Sus scrofa: one gene and its partner. The protein of the gene in region 1 purifies or fractionates together with the protein of each later gene. This does not show direct contact. Links are inferred from orthologs where the notes say so. Each region holds a gene or a part of one and is shown on either strand. Other genes may lie near its edges.

Region 1 (5,194 bases):
TGTAAAAAAACTGTTATTCACAGTCATAAAATCAGAGCTTTGAAAAGCACATGCAATTACCACAAGTACTTCCTGAAGGATTTTAACATGTTCTCATTTATAAAGTAAGTTCTGCGTAGAATGTTGTCACCAGAGAACCAAAACTAGTGAAGGAAAAAGAAACGATAAAGTTGTACGTACAGCCTGCACGTCCAGGCTCTGAAGAAGGATCTGCAAGGTTTTCTGAGTCCCTCAAAGAGATATTTATTTATGAAATGTCAACAACAAACAATGTCGCCCTGTGGCCTATTTGGTCCCCGAGCACCGGCTGAGCCCAACGCTGAGTCTTCCAGGAAACATTCAAAACTCAAAAACTCCCAATACCAAGCTTTAAATCAGTGTGAGGCACACGATGGCCTTAGTTAGACTTCCCTAAAAGGAGGAAGACCAATTGCAAAAACAGTATAAAAACAGAGATTTCAAACTCATGGTGATTAATTCAAACCCATTATTTCTATCATTAAGCTGTTACTTTTAGTCCCTCTCAATAATCACATGGCTCTTAGGTCACTTGTTTGGATAACTGAAAAACTGTTTGGCTGTCAATTTTCTGATCATGCCAACTCAAAAAAGTAGATGGCTAGTGACTTCATCTCATAATCAAGGCTCAAAGTAGGTCACACTTAGAAGTCAGAGCACATTGAGAACCAGGTGTTAAAAGAGGGCCAGGTACAGTTCCTGTCGTGGCTCATCAGAAACGAACCCGACTAGTATCCATGAGGACGCAGGTTGGATCCCTGGCCCTGCTCAGTGGGTTAAGGATCCAGTGTTACCGTGAGCTGTGGTGTAGGTCGCAGATGTGGCTCAGATCTGGCATAGCTGTAGCTGTGGCTGGGGCAGAGGCCAACTGCTATAGCTCAGATTGGACCCCTGGCCTGGGAACTTCCATATGCCATGGGTGCAGCCCTAAAATGACAAAACAAACAAACAAAAAAACCAAAACATGAAAAACAAAACAGGGCCAGATGTTTATTTAGCTGGCTTATAATCAGTTAACATGTTAACTATTCACTGACAGAACTCCTTAAGTTTGGGCATCGGTATACAAAGGTACCTTCAATTAGAGCCTGGTTAGGCAGAGTCTTCGGCTTTGAAAGACACCTCAATTAATGTTGCACTACTAAACGTTAAGAAGGGATAAATACAACCGGTTTTTTTTAATAACTTAACTGCAGAGGTACTAGGGCTGGCTGTGGTCTATGAGTTCCTGGCGCAGTGCTCTCCCCCGTTATTAGCTTCACAAAGCTTCCCCTTCCCCCCCCCCCAAGCAGTTTTCCTCTACTCAATCCTGGGAGAAAAAAAAGTGACACCAGAGAGTAACTTAAGCACTTCCTGAACAACAAAAAAATCCCACTCAAAAAAATGCTGCTTGGAAAAGCTTGAAATCTATAGCGAACTCCTAGATAATTGCTACCCAGATGCAACAGAGAGAATCCTGACACACCTGAAGTACCAGACTCCGTACCGCAACTTTGGCAAATGCCTTTTATAAAGTAGAAAATATGATACAAAGAAAATGAAGTGCTAATTAACACTCAAACGACAAAAATAAAATCCCTCTTCTCTTAGCTCTTTGAAAGACCAGAAATAAAGTTCTTGTGCGTTTTTCACTTATTAACAAGGCTTAATCTAACTTAAAAAATACTGACAAACAGAAGCAGAGCCGACACTGATTCACTGACTCAACTTGTACAGGCTCTGCATCACTTCTAGGCCAAAGATTCTTTATTATCAACACACAGTTTAATTTAAGTAGTAGAAGCAAGTGGTGGTACCCCTTCCCTCCGGCCCCCAGTTACTAAGCAAAAGGAGAGTGGAACGTGTTGCATAGTGATTACAGGCAAACATCCTGCCCCACCGTGACACCCGGGCGAAAAACCACCGCTGCGAACTTTTTTAGACTAACTAAATGGGGCTACTCTTTCCTGACGCCAGTACAATAAACAGGACACCCTCAAGTTTCATATCCTTGCCCCAAAGGGTCCAAGAGCAGTCACCGTTCGCCCTTGACCAGAGTCTCGGGCAAAAGTTTCCTCATTGCGATGGTTCCAGAACACTGGAAGGGCCAAGGAAGCAGGGAAGTGGGAGCAGCCCCGATCCCATGTGACTCGGGCACCCACCCACCCGGGAAGGCGAGGCTGGGCAGGCAGCGCTGGGGCGTGGGGTCAGGGTGTAGGGTCTGGGGCTGGCTCTCGGGTCTGCTGCCTCGTCCGGAGGAGGGAAGACAGGAGGGGGCACCCCGCACTCCCGGCACCCGGCTCCCTTCACTTCCCTTCTCGCAGGGGGCGAGGCCAGCGACGGAGTGGGGGGTGGGGGGCCAGCCGGGATCCCTGCCCCGCAGCAAGAGGGAAAAGGGGCACCCCCAGGCATCCCCTCCGCTGGGGGCAAGGGCACCCCGGGCAGGCAGGGTCGGTGCCCGGGGCGCGCCCCCTTCCCGCGCGCCCGCCCGCCGGGCCCGTTTCTACTCCGGGGACTGAGCGAACGAGGGCGGTGCCCGGTCCCGCGCCGGCCCGCGGCCGCCCCCGGCCCCCGGCCCCCCGGCTCCGACCCCGGCCCGGCACCTTTGATCACGTTGCTGTAGATGGTGGGACGGAACTCCTCGCGCGCGCGCTGGTCGAAGTCCTGTCCGTGGATGATCCGCATCTGCTTCAGGAAGGTGGACTTGCCGCTCTCGCCCGCACCCAGCAGCAGGATCTTCACGAGCCGCTTCACGTAGGTCTTCTCCCGCGACAGGCATTTGTCGATCTCTTTGGACTTGCGCTGCTGCTCGGCCTCGCCGCTCGTCAGCACGCAGCCGGGGAAGCACACGGACAGCACGGACCGCGACGGCAGGAAGTCCGCCATCTTGCCGCCGCCGCCGCCGCCGCCGCCTCGGCGGGCCCCTCCGGCTCCCTCCACCTCCTCCTCGGGCGGCGGGCGGCTCCGGCACCGCGGCTCGAGGGCGGGGAGCGCAGTGGCGACCCGAGCGCGCCGGGGGAGGGAGGGAACCAGCGAACTGACTCGCAGGGCGGGCCAGGCGAGCCGGGGAGGGAGGGAGGGAGGGAAGGAGGGCGGGCCTGGGAGGGGCGGTGGCCCGGGGGACGTGCGCGTGCCCGCTGCCTCCGGGGGCGCGCGCGCACGCCGCGGCGGCTCCTCCGACCCGTGCGCTGGGCCGGAGAATCACGTTCTACTGTGAATTCGCGGCCGCCGTCAGGCGCGCGCGGGGAGGGGTTGAAGGGGTGGGGCCTTGTGTTCATGTGATCTCGGGCTGGGCGCCTTGCAGAGCCAGCCTTTCTGTTTCCCTTTAATTAGCTGCACCCACTTACGCGCCCAAGGGCTGCTTCCGGGAGCCCTGGAGGCTGGGGCCCGGAGAGAAGAACTCAGATGCAGCACTTTGGGTTCCCCAACCGCTCCCGCCGCGGTTACGTGCGGGTCGCCGGCTGTCATCGTTCGCTCTCCTAGTTTCGAGGCCATTGGCTTGAATGTTATTCAAAGAGCGAGCGCGAGTTGGGCAAGTTTTTGGTGCGTTTTCCTAGAGTATCTTCCTTGACATCCTGCTCTCACAAACTCAAAACGTTAACCAAACATCTTCACATCCTCCCCAACACCGGCCCGCAGCTCTCTTCGGTATTCTCTGAGCCCTACAAAGATCATCTCTTGGAGGAGAAAGACTTCGTGTTGATGTTAATCTGAGATGGGCGAGGAGGGGTTGTTGATGTCTCATTGATGCGGATTCCAACCCAAGCTGCTGAAATCAAGATGTAGCTGCAGTAGGGTGAGGTCATGGTGAAAATCCCCCTTAACCGGACACTGTGATGCAGACTCTTCCCTAACAAGGAAGCAGATAAGCAAACAGACCGAGGAGAAGAGCCGGCAAATTTTAGGTTTCCTGCCAGATTACAGAGGATATGACCAGCCAAGGGACTTTTTTCCTATCCTAATAGCAGATTCAGGCCAGGACACCTGAAGGGCTGCCAGGAGACAAGCGACCAGTGACAGCTGGGTTGGCCCCCAAAAGCCAACTTCTTCATTCTTGGTATTCTAGTTTTAAGTGCAAAAAGGCTTTTGGGGTGGTCTCCGTTTATGGCAGTACAACCCTAATGTTCCTTGATGAGAACTTCTGTGGCTCAGAAACGTCTATGCGTCAGAAACTGAAGAAAGAGGTCAGCACTCCCAAGAGGCTCAGGAACAGGTTTAAATTTTAAAAATCAGTGCTAATCAGTTCACTGTCTGGGTTGGGTTAATGTCCGAGGAGCCTCATGACTCAGTAAACTGGCTGCAGTAAACAGTGCCTGTAGTGGGATTATCTCCTCTTGTCCTGGCCAAGCCCACAGGGTGGACAAGCTACAATATACAAAGTAGTGTAGGTTCAACTCTTAATATCTAAGGATTGTTAGGGCCAGAATCACTAGGTGGTGCCTTCAGGTAAAATATAGGGTAAACGTCTCTCCTGGTTGCAAGATCTCTCTGTGGCCTCAGCTAGTGTTTGGGAGGCTCTGTTCTCCACCCATGAAAGGATGAACCAGGGCAGGGGTCTAGCACCGGCCTCCAAGCACCCTTTCTATATGGACTCCAGATGCTAATCTGAATTCTACGAAAACAGGAAGAGGGAAGCCTATCAGTTAAGTAGTTAACATATTTTTTTTTCTTTTTCCAAAAGTGTGTGCAACGTAATGGAGAACCAAGGATGCCTAGGAGGCAGGAAGGTATTCCTGCCCAGCCAGTTCATGTTGTGACATGCAAAACAGCAGAGAAAGCTATTCAAAGCCCTGCCTATAACCTTGTGTTGGAACAAGCTTAGCTCAGAACTGGCCCAGCTGCTCTAATCGATGTTTCTGAAAAATGAGATCTCTTCGGGCCTCGCCTGAGTTTTGGCTGCAGTAGTCCAACTGTTTCGAACTGTCTGGTAATCCAGCTCCCTTGAAAATGTGAGCATATAAATGAGCCAGAGGTCTGGCGGTTCCTCAGAAAGTTAAACATAGAATTGCCACATGACCCAGCAGTTTCACTCCTGGGTATATATCTAAAAGAACTAAAAACAGGCATTCAAGGGAGTTCCCTTTGTGGCTCAGCGGTTAAAGAACCCGACTAGGATCCATGAAGATGCGGGTTCCATCCCTAGCCTCGCTCACCCGGTTAAGGATCCGGCATTGCTGTGAGCTGTGGTGTAGGCCGG
Region 2 (4,428 bases), on another chromosome or scaffold:
TCCCTGTGTCCACCTAGAACTCAATTAGAAGGGTCGGGCTGACACTGAGGCAAGAGGAAAGACGGTGAGACAGCGGAGATAATACCTTGGGACCTGATTCAGGGGAACCTATTTAAAAGAGGTAAGTGGGAACAGCAATTAATATCTGTGTGCTCGCTATGGGCCAAGGGCTATTTACATGTATACTATTTATACCCAAATAATCCATTACATCTCCATTTAATGAAACGGAGGCTGCATTCTTTTAAATACAAGCCATTAGAAGCAGGGTGCCTATGCTGTCAATAACAATCCCATGTAATTCTGTGGTGCCTACAATCTCAGAACAGGCTCTGGCAGCTTTTTTGCTTCCATCCCTGGTGTCATCGGGGTGATCAGCGCCATCTGATCGCTAGGGAAACTAAGGCCCAGAAAGATTCAGGGCTCAGCTGAAGGTTGGAGGGTTGTTTTCAAAGACGAAATATGTCCTCTCCGTGGGACCTCTCATCAAATGCCAGATTCCTATTGGCAGCTGCCTACTCGGTTCTCCACTTTGATGTCTAAAAGAGATCTGAGATTTTGACACGTCTGAAACCGAGGCCCTGATTTTCTACCACAGGATCGCTTCTCACACAGCTGTACCTAACTCAACGGATGGCAGCTTCGTCCTTTTAGTCATTTAGGTAAAAAACGTGGAGTTTTTTTCCTTTTCCTTGGTTTTTCTTTCTCTCACATCCTATACATCAATTGTTAGGAAATCCTCCCGTTGGCCCTCCTGTCAAAACATACCTGGAACTCCTTTCACAGCCCCAGGGGCAATGCTCCCATGCCAGCCCTACCGGGGGACTTCCTGTAACTGACCTCCCTGCCTGGAACCCTCCTTTGCTCTCCCACCACTCTCAAGTTGCTCCCGGCTCCAACGGTTCCTCATTCACTGGGAGGAAAGAAACTTACAACTGTCCACAGCTTCTGGGAGGCCGCCTCTCCTGTCGCCCCTCTGACTTCTGCACTCAAACATGTCAAGCATGTCGCTCCTCTGCCCTGGCTGTTCCCTCTGCCTGGGATGCTCTTCCTCCAAGATGTTTCCGAGGATGCCCATGCCCCCTTTCCGAGGATGCCCATGCCCCCTACATGTAAACGTCTGGATGAGGCGCTATTTGAAGGTGCAATCCCCTGGCTCAGATGCTCCTGGGCCCCCTTGGCCTGCTCTGTTCCCTGATCCCCAACCCTCATTTTCTAATGTACTCTGCAATTTACCTGCATAATACACACTGCTTTTTCTTCCCACAATAGCACAAGCTCCACAAACATTGTTTCTCTACTAATGCATCCCAGGAGCCTAGAACAGTGCTTAGCACCATCGGAGACTCCATAAAAACTTGCTGGCTTGAAGTATCAGCATTAGTAGAGGCTACAGAGATTGTCTAGCCCAAGATCTGTCATTTTATAGATGAGACCGAGGGGGATGCAATGGCTTGATCAAGGTTACACAATTACTGAGTGGAGAAGCAGTACTGGGGTGAAAATCTACCTCTAAGCCTGGAAGTGTCCCCACAAAGTCAACCCAGGCACCTGAAACACTTTAGAAAATAGGGCTGGAAAGAGGCATTCACAGCAGCTGTGCCAGGAGTTCCTTCGTAAGTTTAGTTTGGTTAGTCTTCCGATATGATTAGTTAAAAACGGTCTGATTCCTGTAAGCCAGTTCTGCCTGCCTCCTGAAGGAACTTTACCCCCTGGAGAATCACTGCATGGCTCTTGTACTCAGTGTCAGATGCGATCTTAGCGGCAGGAAGGGGCCAGAAAGCTCACTGCGATGCTGAGGCCCGAGGTTTGTTATAACCACCAAACTGCCCTCAGAAGCTCCAGGCTCCACAATTCCCTTGAAACTCCCACAGACCCGGCCTGAGAAATGGAGCAGGAGGGCAGGATTCTCCCCAGCTTTCGGGGGAAGAAGGATCAGGCAAGAAGTGGCAGAGGGGGAGGGACTAGGAAATAGACCCACAAACTGTGTCAAACTGTTGGGCATGTTCAGGGGTGGGAGTGGAACCGGAGACTCACAAAATGTCTCCTAGGGCAGCCAGCTGCTTCTCCGCCACCTGGCGCTCGCGGAGAGGGTCCCCATCCAGGTCCAGCAGGTCGTTTTCACCATACAGGCTGCCCAGCCCCAGCGTGCGCTTTGTTCTGAGCCAGAGAGCGAAAGAAACAAACGTATACCAACGTCTGACAGAGAGGTGCACAGACACACACACCATACACACACACCAACACACACACCACACACAAACACACACACACACACACACACACACACACACACACACACACACACACGAGACACATACCCCGCAGGTCAAGAACAAGGGTGAGGAGGCAGAGGGGAGAGCGGGGCGGGGGGCACCGGGCACCTGTAGTCCTGGATCTGCTCCTGGATGTCGGGCATGGCGGCCTCCTGAGCCTCGCAGAGAACAGCGCGCACATCCTCGCCGCTCCGCAGGCGCAGGTCTGTGGTGGGAGCCCAGACAGGAAGGGGAGGGATGTCGGGAGAAGGAGGTCACATCTGCTGAGCATCTCAAAGCCTCTTAGCTGCCTGTGGCACCGGGGGCAGAGGCTGGCTTTCTGCCCTCCTGTCAGCCAAGGGAAGTGGAGGCCTGGACCTACCAGGTCATTCCTGAATTCAGGACTGGAATTCTGACATCCAAGTCCCAAGGCAAGGACAAAATCGTTTCCGGGATGTTCCACACTCCATTGAGTGGAGAACTATTAAATCCCCTCTCTGCCTGTGTCCAGACACTGCCCTCTGACATTAAATGCACACCTCTGCAAGGCTCATCCTCATTCCACCGCCCCAGGGTCAGCTCACAAGGCTGCAAAAGGCAAGCACTGCACAGGAAACCCAACTTCCCACCAGAAACTGGAAGGTGTCTCTCCTGTCCTTGCACCTGGCTTCACTCAGCTGAGGCTACGTCTCCGGGAGTGGCTGGCCACCCTCTGCTCTGCTTTGGAGCAAGTTCTCTTTACCCTCTGTCTGTGCCCATTAGCTTTCCTATCATCCAGGCCTTTAAAGGACCTCTTTTTGAAGGCAGCTTTGAACCAAGACCCTCTAGAAAGCTCCTGTGATTAGCCTCTCAGGTTGGCACCCTTCCTTGGCTCTTCCACTCATGATTTGACAACGAGAAGGGAACAGAGCAATCACCTAGCTCACTGGCTCCCCACCCAGCACAGGTTTAGGAACACACACCACCAAAAACACAAGAGCAGAAACACTCCAGAGAGTCTGACTCTGCGGGTGGGGTGGGGTGGGGGAGGCCCTGGTTTTGGTAATTCTAAGACAGAAGCCCCCAAGGGATCCTGATGATGACCAGGCTTAGGAATCCAATTTCCTCTTTGTACAGATGACCCAACCCAGGCCCACAGAGGTCAGGTGCAAGGTTGGCAGAAGTGACCCTGGTCTCCTGACCAACTCGTGCCCTGCCGTGACAGGCTTGATCAGGCAGAGTAGCTCCCAGTGGTTGTGCTTGTCCATGAGCTACTTTGAGGAGCTCTGGAGGAAAGGTCCCCATATCCCCTATTAGAGAACAGCTGCCCAAGGTAGAGACTATGTCCCTTCCATCCCTGAAGCCACCTCTGAAGAAGAGACTAGATGACCAAGGAGCCAACTTACCAATCTCAGCCTGTAACATCTCCGGGACCTTCACTCTCAGAGGCTGAAAAACAGAAGAGGGGGCAGAGTGGTGAGGTCCACACACCCCAGGGCATGGTGGGAATCGTGCGGGGGCAAGGAGGGCTCTGGGCACTACCTCTCCTCCCCCTTTCCCTACACGACCCCACCTCCGCTCACCCATCTCCACTGAACTCTAGCTAGGGATTCTGAGAACTGGCATCGGAGGCTACGAGGCAAGCTGGGACTGTATATTCTGAGGGTGGTACCTGCAGTTTTCCTGCTCTTATTTCAAGGATCTCAGGCTGTACTGAATGGAAAGGTTCCAAAAAGTGGAGGGGGGGACAATTTAGCAGCAGGGGAGGAGTCTTACGAGGTGAGTCGATGGGCTCCCCTTCTCCTTCACCCCCCAGGGAACACGGGCCTTCTGCTACTGCATCTTCCAGTGAGTGCGCACGGCCTGGCTTTGGCTTTACGAGAACCTGACAGCTGGATCCTGGGGTGGTTCCATAACCACCACCAAGGAACAACTGGCAGCTCTAATCTCCTTACTCAAGACCCACTAAGGGGGCTAAAATTAAAATCTGGAGGTAAAAACAGTTTATTTCTCAATCTCATTAGTCCTAGTAGCTTACTGCCAGACGAGTCAAGTCATTTGGGAATGAGTTTAGTTGATCAGATTAGAAAGCCTAAGATGGGAACTGCCCTCTGCAGGCCCAGGTGCCGCTGCAGCGGGATCCCCGACACATCCTTGGGAACCACGTCCAGGGGTGGCGTGCGCATCCGCCCTG

The links.
Region 2: the proteins of GNA13 (region 1) and ARHGEF11 purify together in Homo sapiens (affinity purification with western blotting; 3 studies listed by BioGRID). This does not show direct contact. The link is inferred for Sus scrofa from reciprocal best matches to the Homo sapiens genes GNA13 and ARHGEF11.

What each region holds. Positions count from the first base shown.
Region 1 is NC_010454.4:11,963,707-11,968,900, forward strand, and holds the start of GNA13 (guanine nucleotide-binding protein subunit alpha-13), read right to left. Parts: upstream 3,208-5,194; 5' UTR 2,884-3,207; coding exon 2,601-2,883; intron 1-2,600. UniProt on the Homo sapiens protein: Guanine nucleotide-binding proteins (G proteins) are involved as modulators or transducers in various transmembrane signaling systems.
Region 2 is NC_010446.5:93,132,016-93,136,443, reverse strand, and holds part of ARHGEF11 (rho guanine nucleotide exchange factor 11), read right to left. Parts: intron 3,684-4,428; coding exon 3,641-3,683; intron 2,482-3,640; coding exon 2,385-2,481; intron 2,161-2,384; coding exon 2,038-2,160; intron 1-2,037. UniProt on the Homo sapiens protein: May play a role in the regulation of RhoA GTPase by guanine nucleotide-binding alpha-12 (GNA12) and alpha-13 (GNA13). Acts as guanine nucleotide exchange factor (GEF) for RhoA GTPase and may act as GTPase-activating protein (GAP) for GNA12 and GNA13.